3 linked regions of the Kluyveromyces lactis genome follow. Each later gene encodes a partner of the first gene's protein in a complex. Links are inferred from orthologs where the notes say so. Each region holds a gene or a part of one and is shown on either strand. Other genes may lie near its edges.

Region 1 (4,177 bases):
ATTGGCACTTACTGTGTTAAACTTGAAGCTTGCAGCGAAAATCGCATACATGTAAAGAGTACGTGGGACAAGCAATGCCTTGCTAGAAAGCAAACTTCTAGCAGTTCGCAAGAAGCCATCCATAATTTTATCAAACTGAGAGATAGAGAGATAGTCAACACTGTTGAGGCAAATTCTATAGATAATTTTGCAATTGTAAAAGGATGTGACCTCCGAAGAGTTCTTGTCGAAGAGAACAGTGAGAATTTCATTGCTTTGGTCTTCTGTAAATGAAGAGATCAAATCTTCGAAAGAGACATTCACACAGGAGGAGAATATGTTGTTTTCATGGAAATATGTTATTTGTTCATCGCTCAAACAATTATAATCAGCAGTTAATTCGTAGCATCTCGTTAAAAACAACAAATGCGAAGTACTGACTTCATCTGGGAACCGGGTTAAGATCTTATCCACAACTTGTGACAGTCTAATCAATTTCAAATAATCGACTAATGAAGCGTCTCCTTTAGCTGTCAATATATGTGGCAGTAAGCCTAAGGGAGAAGTGACGGATGTGCGTGTATCGATTTTATTGATGTATCTGGAAAACATGACTTCCAAATCTAAACTAATAAAAAGCCTGGTAAGTAAGGACTCCTGTTGTAGTTGAAGAACAAATTCATCAATGCTATCTTCCGTTATCAAGCATTCAACGGATATAGTATCGAGAACAGTCTTAAAAACAGCATTTGCAATTGTTTGGTCAGAATGTGCTGTAGTTGGTATTGTAACTTTTTGATCAACAATTAGACTCTGTGATAGAAAATCTGAATTTGATAATAGAGTTATATATGCTTCGCTTGTTTCTGGAATTTCGGTGCAATAATCTTTAAATGCCTTGACATGACCTTGCTTCTTAGAAGCTTCATATAACCTGAGTAGAAGAGAACCGTTTAGTATTTTTGATTTGAAAATAGAATCATCATCAAACTGATAAGTGGAGACAAAATCTTCGGTGAAATCCTTGTAGGATTGACTTGAATGCATGAGTTTTGAGAGAAATTCACTATTCAAGCGAGCCAAAAACGAAGGAATTGCCTTCTTTGGTGTTTCATATTGGGATAAAACCATTATAAAATCGTCAAAATACTGTTCCCAAGTAGAATTCGCTAAGAATGCAGAGTTTGAAAAATCTATCATCACATCCATTGGAATTTTGAAGAAAGCCTCAGAGACTAACGTGGGTAATACGTCGATAAAAGTATTAATCTCTTTGGTAAGGTTCAAGTTATTGGTTTTGATCAAGTTATCGTAGAAAATGAAGCCATAACAAGAAGGAAGATCGTCAGGATTTTCCAACTCCTCCAAAGATTTCATAACTTCAACGCTCAACATATGCATAGTTGTGATATCACTGGACAAAATGAGACAGGTATTGGATATAAGTAAGACTTCCTTTCTTTTTTCACCTTTACCCAAAGGAAGTAGATCAATGATTAGATCGTATAAAAAAGCATAGTTGATGCGTGTAGGTGATAACTCTAAAACAAGCTCAGGAATTTCCTTTAGGTCTTTGGTGGTGATAAGCCTTAAGATGTTAGGATGAAGTTGTTGAATGCTGTCTTGGTCCGATGATGAAATACTAAACTTGATGCAATTTTTCCAAGCCTCGATCAATGACTTGTATCCATTCCGACCTAGTACCCGCCGATCATTTTCATGATCGAGATATTTGATCCAGATCGAGAGCCATTCTTGATGTTCAAGTATGCTCGATTCAGCAGAAAGTTGATATGCCAAAGAGTAATATACTGGATCCGATATTCCAGGCCCCAATGAGAGGAATGTAAGTAATCGCTCTTTACTTTTCTTTTCATAAGACCAGAATTTACCATCTTTGTACTTGTTCATCTCCAACAACGTTTTCAAAATGTCAGGTAAAACAGATGATACTGAAATAAGAGTTTTTGCGTTACATTGTGACAACGACACGAGTAATTTCTTGGAGGCAAGTTTCAAAGCTTCCTTGTTTTTTCGATATAGTTGTCTAGACCGAAGTTCAATCATTAGATGTAAAAGAGACTGGTATCCCTTCAAATTTTTTGTATCTTTTAAACTTAGGTTATTCCAGAATTCTTCATCTGTGAGTATTTCGTGCAAAGTCTCCATTTGATCAGTGGTAAGTTCCTCGACACTAATAAGTTTAGTTAAAGTGCGGATGGATGCAATTAATAATTGATTATATCTCAATGAAATGTCTTCCTTTGTGTAATATCTTTCATCGGATATGGACTTTGCAGTTTCTACTATAATAACCTGTTTAATAAAATTTAAAATCTCTGAGGTGAATAGTTTCCATAATGAGTTAACTTTATTAGAGTCCTTGAAACAGTTGAGCAAACTATCAGAACATGATCTTCCAACCGCCGTATCTACATCGAAGAGTCCACTCAAAAGCATTGGGATAAGCTCTTTCAGAAACTTGGACACACGTTTCCCAAACTTCGCTATCAAAGTAGCAGTGAATTGATGTGCCTGGATTCTTATAGTCTTCGAATCAGACGAGATCAACTTTGCATAAATTTGGCACCATGATAGTATGAACATATCATCTTGGAAAATAGAGAGTTTATCGTCATCTTGTATAAAGGATAAAAGATCATTCAAAGCCTTTTCCTTGGTAGTATTCGCTCGCTTTAGTAATGACTTGAAACACAATTGCAAGTCAGTAGATTGAACGTTTTGCAATATCGGTAGACCATCGAAATAGTTCAAAGTTACTTTAACACCATTGTAGCCTAATCCTAAAGTTGATGAAGAGTCAGTAAAAACGTTAGTGTTAAATGACATAGTATTCAAATGACCGTTACTATGAATGGCCCGTATGAGTTACTGCTTTTCGGTTTGATCGAGACCTTTCGTTAATTGCTGATGATGTGCAGTAGAAACGAAATCTCAAGTACCTAATTTTTTTTTCACTTTCTTATATAAGTCTTGCATACGCATACAGCGGAGGGATATATACATATGAATATACTATACGCAGTACGAATGACCAGGATTAGCGGAAATTTTCCAGTTGCTAAAATTCAGAGGTCGAAGTTTCCCTTTGTTGAGGCGAAATCAGCTCAATCCTAGTGTGTGGATATATATACATATATATCACGTGACCTAGATGGTTTCTTGAAAGAACTTCGAAAGTCTCCAACCATCACTGTCTATAAATTGATCCACATATAGAGTCTTTGTAAGTGCACATTGCTAGCTTGGTATTTTTCGGAAAAGGATGTATGACTGGTGGTGGTTGGTGTTGTATCTTGTCTCTCTCTCCCATATCGTTAAATTTTATCTAGAAGCTTCCTGCTCTTCTGTTTTATATTTAAAGGTAACCTTGAAATTTGAAGCAGTTACAGAAAATGTTAATAACAAATATTGCGTTCACATACAAACTGTTACTCAAACAAAGAGAGTACAATTGGAACAAATTACACTTAAACCGCCAATTACCAATCAATAAATCAAATTAACATGTCAGTTCACACTCCAGAAGTTTTATGGGCTCAACGTTCAAGCGAATCCGATGATACCAAGAACAATTTGTTCATTACCATCAATATTCCAGACTGTACGAACCCTAAAATGGAATTAACCGAAAATTCTTTGGAATTCAGTGCACTATCTAAGTATCACAGTAAAGATGGGATCAAATACCATTTGCACATTGACTTCTACAAGCCAATTGATACGGAAAACTCGGAGCAGAGGGTAGCTAACGGTAGAAACTACTTTTTGGTGTTAAGGAAGAAAGATTTAGGCCTTGAATACTGGCCCAGATTGACCAAGGAGAAGCTTAAGTATCATTACATTAAAACCGACTTTGATAAATGGGTTGACGAAGATGAACAAGAAGAGAATGTTGCTGCTGATAACGACTTGATGTCACAATTTGGCCAAATGGGGGGCGCTGGCTTCCCTGGAATGGAACAAGGTTTCAATCCACAAGCCTTCGCTGACGCCGGAATCAACCTGGATGAGGCATTACCAGAAGAAGATGATGAAGATGACGAAGAAAAAGCTGAATAGGTATGATCGGATGGTCTGCAAAGGCGATTTCTATCAAGATTTAATTCATTTATTTGCTGTATACAGTCATGCGCATATATAGGTGTATAAATACGAACAAAAATTTCTATTATAT
Region 2 (4,130 bases), on another chromosome or scaffold:
GCCAGGGTTCTGCGGAGGTTGCATACCATAGAATCCAGGTTGAGGCGGCATAGCCATCTGTTGTTGTCTGTCTAAAGATTGAATGGCCAATCCTTCCACATTAGGTGCACCTTGCTGTTGAACCTGTGGTGGGGCTTGGAATTGTGTAGGGGCTTGAGGTTGCACCTGTTGTTGCTGATTACCGGAGCTGTTACCCCATAAAGATTCCATAGGTTGCATGTCCAGCGATTGTTCGAAACCAGGTTTACAGTCTGCTTGTCTGTTCATTTTGGCATTTGCAATAGATGCATAAGAAACAGGAGCTGGTGCTGGTGCCCTACCAGAACCTGAACCAGCGCCAAGCTCCCCTTTACCGTAACCAAAATCAAAATCTGTACCCAGATCCGCTCCAGTACCAAAAGTTTCATCATTGAGCAAATCATCTTCCTCTGGCTCATAATCACCCAAGCCTTGATACGTTTCTTCGAAATCTAAAGAATCCTCCTCGCCTTGCTGTTTCCTCTCACGAGGTTTTCGGCCCGTGGCGTCAAAACCGAAGAATGACATCGTTCAGTGATTCAGGAATATAAGGACTCCTATACTAATTGGGCAAAAATCGATTTCTAGATCAGAATTGTCGACAAATCCTATTATATTCTCTTAAAAACACAAGTAATGTGATTTAAGTCGCTACCTGCCTGCGTTTCGTTCAAGCAATCTTCCAACAAACGGTCTCTGAATATCTCTGATCACTTATTTTTGAGCATAGAAACTACTTTGCTTGTTAAGTGAATTACATTTTTGGGTTGTTGTTTGATGAAAAATTTCACCGTGCAAGATGATATACATATTAAGGATTTCTAGTTCAAAATTTGAAATTCAGGTCATGTGATTTCAAATATTTGACATTTTTCAACATGGTAGTTTAGAAAGTTCCAATACAAACTCGTACGTAGTCTTTCTTTCCTTCATTAGCAGCATATATAAAGTGATTGCGAATAGACAAAGATGACATATACTACTAACATCCTAGGTACAGCTATCTGGAAAATATATCAGCTTAGCAGTTTAGTCTTAAACCTAAGTAATAAAAGATATCTGATCTAATAGCAGTGACCAAGTTCTAATAATTTTAATCTGATTAGCAGTGAAAATACTGATTTGTATGAAGATCTGAATCAAGTATAGTGCTCGAAAAGAATCAACTCAGACTGGTAAAGTGGACTTAACTGCAACTTGGAGAGTACGAAATATCTAAACTATAATCTTGGATTTGATACTAGAAAATGAAACAGAGATTGAGTTCGTTAGATTTGCAACTGATATCCAAAGAGTTGGAGAATCAAATTGTAGGATTTCGCTTAAGAAATATCTATAACATTGCTGACTCAAACAGGCAATTCTTATTAAAGTTTGGAAAACCCGATTCCAAGTTAAACGTTGTCATTGATTGCGGATTGCGAGTTCATACTACTGACTTTACCAGGCCGATTCCCCCGACTCCTTCGTGGTTTGTTTCCAAATTGAGATCGTATTTGAAAGAAAAACGATTGACGGCAGTTAAGCAGATCCCAAATGACAGAATAATTGTGTTTACTTTTGCTGATGGTAAGTACTACCTTGTTTTAGAATTTTTCAGTGCCGGAAATGTGCTTTTATTGGATGCTGACCAAAAAATTCTTTTACTACAGAGAGTTGTCGATGATTATTCGATGAAAGTTGGTGAATTTTATGACATGGCCAACTTTGCAGAAATTAACCAAACTTCAACTACGGTTCCTGATCCTAAGGAATATTTCGAAAATGAAATAGCAGATTGGTTGAAAGAAGCCGACGTTAAAGCCAAAAGCACAATTGTGCCCGGAGAGGCTAAAAAAGGTAAACTCAAGGGAAAAGCATCTGTTCCGTCTATTCAAAAACTTTTATTTGTTCATGCTCCACATTTATCAAGTGATTTGATTCAAAACTCGTTGAAAGCTATTGGTATTGATCCATCTTCTTCGTGTCTTGAGTTTAAACACAATGTCTCTGTGCTTGTTGACTTAATGTCCTCATTAGAAGTTCAAGCAAATAAATTGATCTCGACTACGTCAACAAGAATAGGTTATATAGTGGCTCATAAGAACAAACTGTACGATCCTTTAAGAGACAAGCCGGAACTTGAATACACTTTTTCAAATTTCCATCCCTTCAAACCCTTTGTAGGAGATTCCACTGACGTCAAAATTATCGAAATCGGCGGAATGTACAATAATACCGTAGACACATTCTTTTCTACAATAGAATCAAACAAATATGCTAGCCGTATCCAAAATCAGGATTTCCAGGCTCAAAAAAAATTGGATGAGGCAAAGAATAACAATGAAACTATTATAAAATCGTTATTACATGCACAACAAACTAACGAAGAAAAAGGAAACATTTTGATAGCTAATGCAAATTTAGTAGAAGAGGCCAAGAATGCAGTTAAAAGCTTATTGGACCAACAAATGGACTGGCAAAGTATGGAAACTTTAATAGCAAACGAGCAGCGGAAAGGCAACAAGATTGCTCGGATCATTAAGCTGCCAATGGATTTACCAAATAATAAAATTACCATTGAATTACCAAAAGATGGGTACAGCGAGGATGATTCTACTGAACATCATCAGTCAGAAGCTGATTATTCATCAAACGAAAGTGATGTTAACCAATCAGATTCCTCTGTCTCATCGGATTATTCTGATTCTGATTTTGAAGAACTAACTTCATCCAAAAGTAAACAGCAAAGTAGAAGAAAATCCAAGATAACATCAGAGAAACGGGAAACTGTTCTGCTGACAGTCGATTTATCTTTATCGGCATTTGCAAACGCCTCCAGTTATTTCAACGCCAAAAAGGCGACATCAGAGAAACAAAAAAAAGTTGAGAAGAATGCTGAAAAGGCTTTAAAAAGTATCCAGCAAAAGATCGAAAAAGATCTACAAAAGAAGTCAAAGGAATCTCATGATATCTTGAAAGCAATTAGAACTCCATATTTTTTCGAAAAATATTACTGGTTTATTTCTAGCGAAAGTTTTCTCGTACTGATGGGTAAGAGTCCCGTCGAAACTGATCAACTTTATGCAAAGTATGTTAATGACGATGACATTATGGTCACCAATGCATTTGACGTGAAGGCTTGGATTTTGAACCCTCAGAAGACTGAAGTACCACCAAACACACTAATGCAAGCTGGTACTTTTGCAAATTCTGCAAGTGATGCATGGTCAAAAAAGATTGCATCCTCTCCTTGGTGGTGTTTCGCTAAAAATGTAACGAAATTTGACGACATTGATGGCAGTGTTCTTCCAGTTGGATCATTTAGAATGAAACAACCTAAAGCTAAAAACATGTTGCCACCAGCACAATTAGTGATGGGATTAGGACTTGTGTGGAAAGTAAAGACAGAGGATAGCGAGGAAAAAGAGGGTGAGTATGAACAAAATAGTGACTTAGAAGCATCTGACGATGATACAAGTCATACTTCTCAGCCGGAAACAAACCCAGTCGACCAAATTGATAATAATGTAAACGTTATTTCAAAAGAAATTAATGATCTAGGGTTCGATGTCAACAATTTCGATGAAGTGGCTTTAGCAGGAGAAGAGGCCACTGATGGGTACGAGAAACTCTCAAATAGTGATTTATCCAAAGGTGAAGAGGATTTTGATGAGAGTAAGACTATAGCTACTTCAATTGTTGAAAATATGAATACAGCGGTTCGTGGTAAGAGAGGGAAATTGAAAAAAATCCAAAAGAAGTACTTTGACCAAGATGAAGAAGAAAGATTATTGAGACTAGAAGCACTTGGAACATTAAAAGGTATTGAAAGAGAGAAGCAAAAAAAACTTGAAGAGATGGAAAGAGCCGAAAAGAGGGAGTTTAAAAAGCGGATACGTAAAAACCAAGAGCAAACTCGCATCTTGCAGTTTAACAAATCAGAAAAGGTCGAAGTTGATATTCCAAAATTTTTGAATCAATTGAAAACCGGTATTTCCAAAGATGATAAAATAGCTGACGTTATCCCTGTCTATGCCCCCTGGGCTGCTTTAACTAAAAATAAGTATAAAGTCAAAATACAGCCTGGCACTGCAAAGAAGAGCAAATCTATTAATGAAACTCTACATTAC
Region 3 (4,265 bases), on another chromosome or scaffold:
ATTCTCCAACATTTTCGCAGTCGAAAGAAATATTGCAATAAGTACCGATACGTGTGAATTCAAACGTTTAATAAGCCGATACCAATGAGTGCTGTTGCCCACGACGCTGCTTGTATTTTCTGCAAGATTATCAAAGGTATGTAAACCTCAAATTGTTAGGTGAGAACAAATATCTGTTTCTCCCCTTGGTTTTTGCATGCTCGCAACCACCCAAGTGGCTTAGACTAGCTCTTTGATCTTATGAACTATAATACTAACAGATTCCACTACTGGTGTACTTTCAGGTGAAATCCCTTCTTTCAAATTGGTTGAAACTCAGTATTCTTACTCGTTCCTTGACATCCAACCAACTGAAGAGAACCACATTCTTATCATTCCAAAGCACCACGGTGGGAAATTGCACAACATCCCAGATGAATACTTAGCTGACCTGTTGCCAGTTACTAAGAAGTTAGTGAAAGCCATTGGCTTCGACCAAGATGGTCCTGATGGTCCAGGGTACAATGTCCTTCAAAACAACGGTAGAATAGCCCATCAAGAAGTAGATCACGTGCATTTCCATTTGATCCCAAAGAAAACAAAGGATGCTGGATTAATCGTAGGTTGGCCTGCACAGGAAACTGATTTTGCTAAGCTGAGTGAAATGCATAAAAAGTTGCTTGCCAAACTAGAAACCTAAGCGCGATCTTTTTCGCAATGAAAGAGACCAAGATATGACGAAGATGACGAAGCTGACGAAGCTGACGAAGCTAACGAAGATGATCATTGAGATCGTCTCATATATATTATAACTACATATTTCCTACTGTACCAATTTCTACTTACCATTCACATAAGGAATCCAATAGCTCATTCGCATTGTGGGAGGGATCTTCTTAGAGAGGAGATGAAAAAATATTGTTACCCGGCCGAAATTTCACATATCCGGTGGCAAATTCTGAAATCTCTAGATTATAAAGAGGGAAGCGATTTATTATATATAAGTATTGCACACTATTTTCGGTGATCCTTGAAGGTTATTTTCAGGATTAACACCAGTAAGTGAACGCTAGATTAAATAAAGCACTCACCAGGGATTTACAATAATTGTCTCCTTTAATTGAATCATTGAATCACCAGATTAGGGGTTAGATCAAGTTATTTAATTTTTGTTTTATCTTCCGTCTTTTGGTTGAAATAAGAAGAAATAAGGTCCAATTTCAGAAGTTAATCAAGAAACCTGCATATCCTGTTTACCAAGAGCTTAATTACATCGTGGATCCTACCAGAAGGAATTACAGTATCTTTAAAACAACTTTTCACCTCAGTTATTAAGAGAACATGCCAGAAGAACATAAGAAATTGTTAGATAGTTCTGGCACTGCAGCTGACGCAGATGATGCTACCGCCACTGCCATCTTGAGAAGAAAGAAGAAGCAAAACATGTTACTGGTCGATGATGCAGTTAACGATGACAATTCTATCATTGCTATCAATTCTAACACTATGGATCTTTTACAATTGTTCCGTGGTGACACCGTTTTAGTCAAGGGTAAGAAGAGAAAGGACACCGTTTTGATTGTTATGATTGATGACGAACTGGAAGATGGTGTCTGTAGAGTAAACCGTGTTATTCGTAACAACTTGAGAATAAGACTCGGTGATTTGGTCACTATCCATCCATGTACCGATATCAAGTATGCTTCCAGAATCTCAGTGTTGCCAATCGCTGACACCATCGAGGGGTTGACTGGTAATCTATTTGATGTGTACTTGAAGCCATACTTTGTCGAAGCTTATAGACCGGTTAGAAAAGGTGACCACTTTATCGTTAGAGGTGGTATGAGACAAGTAGAGTTCAAGGTCGTAGACGTTGAGCCTGAAGAGTACGGTGTTGTTGCCCAAGATACTGTCATTCATAGTGAAGGTGAGCCAATTAACAGAGAAGATGAAGAAAATAACATCAATGAAGTCGGTTATGATGATATTGGTGGTTGTCGTAAGCAAATGGCTCAAATTAGAGAATTGGTCGAATTGCCATTGAGACACCCACAACTATTTAAGGCCATTGGTATCAAACCTCCGAAGGGTATTTTGATGTACGGTCCTCCAGGTACCGGTAAAACTCTAATGGCCAGAGCTGTGGCTAACGAGACAGGTGCATTTTTCTTCTTAATCAATGGTCCAGAAGTCATGTCCAAGATGGCTGGTGAATCTGAATCCAACTTGAGAAAGGCTTTCGAAGAAGCAGAAAAGAATGCTCCGGCCATTATTTTTATCGATGAAATTGATTCTATTGCACCAAAGCGTGACAAGACTAACGGTGAAGTGGAAAGAAGAGTCGTTTCTCAATTATTGACTCTAATGGATGGTATGAAGGCTAGATCCAACATCGTTGTCATTGCAGCCACCAATAGACCCAATTCTATCGATCCTGCTTTGAGAAGATTCGGTAGATTTGATAGAGAAGTCGATATTGGTGTTCCTGACGTTACTGGTAGATTGGAAGTCTTACGTATTCACACTAAAAATATGAAGTTGGCTGACGACGTCGACTTAGAAAAGTTGGCCGCTGAAACCCATGGTTATGTTGGTGCTGATATTGCCTCCCTATGTTCTGAAGCTGCTATGCAACAAATTCGTGAAAAGATGGACCTAATTGACTTAGATGAAGACGAAATTGACGCCGAAGTGTTGGACTCATTAGGAGTTACTATGGACAACTTCAGATTTGCATTGGGTAACTCCAACCCATCCGCATTGCGTGAAACCGTTGTAGAATCTGTTAATGTCACATGGGATGATATCGGTGGCTTGGATGAAATTAAGGATGAATTGAAGGAAACCGTCGAATATCCAGTCTTGCATCCAGATCAATACACCAAGTTTGGTTTGTCACCATCGAAGGGTGTGTTGTTCTACGGTCCTCCTGGTACTGGTAAGACTTTGTTAGCTAAGGCTGTCGCCACCGAAGTGTCTGCTAATTTCATTTCGGTCAAGGGTCCTGAGTTATTAAGTATGTGGTACGGTGAGTCCGAATCCAATATCCGTGATATTTTCGACAAAGCCAGAGCTGCAGCCCCAACTGTCGTTTTCTTAGATGAATTGGACTCCATTGCTAAGGCTCGTGGTGGTTCTTTAGGTGATGCAGGTGGTGCATCTGACAGAGTGGTTAACCAATTATTGACCGAAATGGATGGTATGAACGCCAAGAAGAACGTTTTCGTTATTGGTGCCACTAACAGACCAGATCAAATCGATCCAGCTATTTTAAGACCTGGTAGATTGGATCAATTGATCTACGTTCCATTACCAGACGAAACAGGAAGATTATCTATTCTATCAGCCCAATTAAGAAATACACCATTAGAACCAGGACTAGATCTAAAGACCATCGCTCAAGCTACACAGGGATTCTCTGGTGCAGATTTATTATATATCGTACAGAGAGCTGCGAAGTTTGCCATTAAAGATTCCATCGAGGCACAAAAACGTGCAGAAGTTGTCAAGAAAGAAGAAGGTGCAGAAGAAACCGAGAAGGTCAAGACAGAAGAAGACGTTGAAATGTCAGACGTTCAACAAGAGGATCCAGTTCCATTCATTACCAAAGAACACTTCACTGAAGCTATGAAAACAGCCAAGCGTTCTGTTACAGATACTGAGCTTCGTCGTTACGAAGCTTATGCTCAACAGATGAAGGCATCCAGAGGACAATTCGGCAACTTCTCGTTTGGTGATGATTCAGGTGCTGCCGCAACTCAAGCTGGTGCTGAGGGTTCTGGTGCAGCTTTCGGAGATGCCGCTGGTGAAGATGACGATGATTTGTACAGTTAGATACATAACCTTCACAAAACATAACAGGTCTTTTTCGATGCAAAATGAAATGTAATAAATTACAATACAGAGGAATACTTGTTGCTAAATTTACGTAGAGATTAAATATTATCTATTAATCACGTGTAACAGGATATTTGAGATAACTGGTTTTAATATGGTTAAAAGATTCATCAGTCTTAGCTATCCCTTCCAATTTTGGGTCTTGAATTCATCTTTAATTCGACCTAGTAGTGCAATGGTATATTTTCGCCAGGCAAAGCAATACAGGGTCTCCGAAGTAAAACCAAATTATATTAATGAATACATATATGTGCGAGAGTATGTACGTTTGAATGAAATAGAAAGTTGAGAGAAAGAAATGCAAATACCAAATAGTCACCTACGTGCTTCAATGTGTTGGCAATCCGTCCGTTAATGGAATATCGAAGCCCAGCCTGACTTTGAAGATA

Evidence for each region.
Region 2: RKR1 (region 1) and RQC2 share a complex: the UniProt entries of both Saccharomyces cerevisiae proteins name them as parts of the ribosome quality control complex. The link is inferred for Kluyveromyces lactis from reciprocal best matches to the Saccharomyces cerevisiae genes RKR1 and RQC2.
Region 3: RKR1 (region 1) and CDC48 share a complex: the UniProt entries of both Saccharomyces cerevisiae proteins name them as parts of the ribosome quality control complex. The link is inferred for Kluyveromyces lactis from reciprocal best matches to the Saccharomyces cerevisiae genes RKR1 and CDC48.

The regions. Positions count from the first base shown.
Region 1 is NC_006039.1:1,243,878-1,248,054, reverse strand, and holds the start of RKR1 (ubiquitin-protein ligase RKR1), read right to left. Parts: upstream 2,830-4,177; coding exon 1-2,829. Other genes in the region: Hsp90 cochaperone SBA1, read left to right, coding at 3,508-4,062. UniProt on the Saccharomyces cerevisiae protein: E3 ubiquitin-protein ligase component of the ribosome quality control complex (RQC), a ribosome-associated complex that mediates ubiquitination and extraction of incompletely synthesized nascent chains for proteasomal degradation.
Region 2 is NC_006042.1:2,527,364-2,531,493, reverse strand, and holds the start of RQC2 (Rqc2p), read left to right. Parts: upstream 1-1,265; coding exon 1,266-4,130. Other genes in the region: deadenylation-dependent mRNA-decapping factor PAT1, read right to left, coding at 1-546. UniProt on the Saccharomyces cerevisiae protein: Key component of the ribosome quality control complex (RQC), a ribosome-associated complex that mediates the extraction of incompletely synthesized nascent chains from stalled ribosomes as well as their ubiquitin-mediated proteasomal degradation.
Region 3 is NC_006042.1:552,954-557,218, reverse strand, and holds CDC48 (AAA family ATPase CDC48), read left to right. Parts: upstream 1-1,320; coding exon 1,321-3,813; downstream 3,814-4,265. Other genes in the region: HNT1 (adenosine 5'-monophosphoramidase), read left to right, coding at 85-136, 285-679; cyclin PCL2, read right to left, coding at 4,228-4,265. UniProt on the Saccharomyces cerevisiae protein: ATP-dependent chaperone which probably uses the energy provided by ATP hydrolysis to generate mechanical force to unfold substrate proteins, disassemble protein complexes, and disaggregate protein aggregates.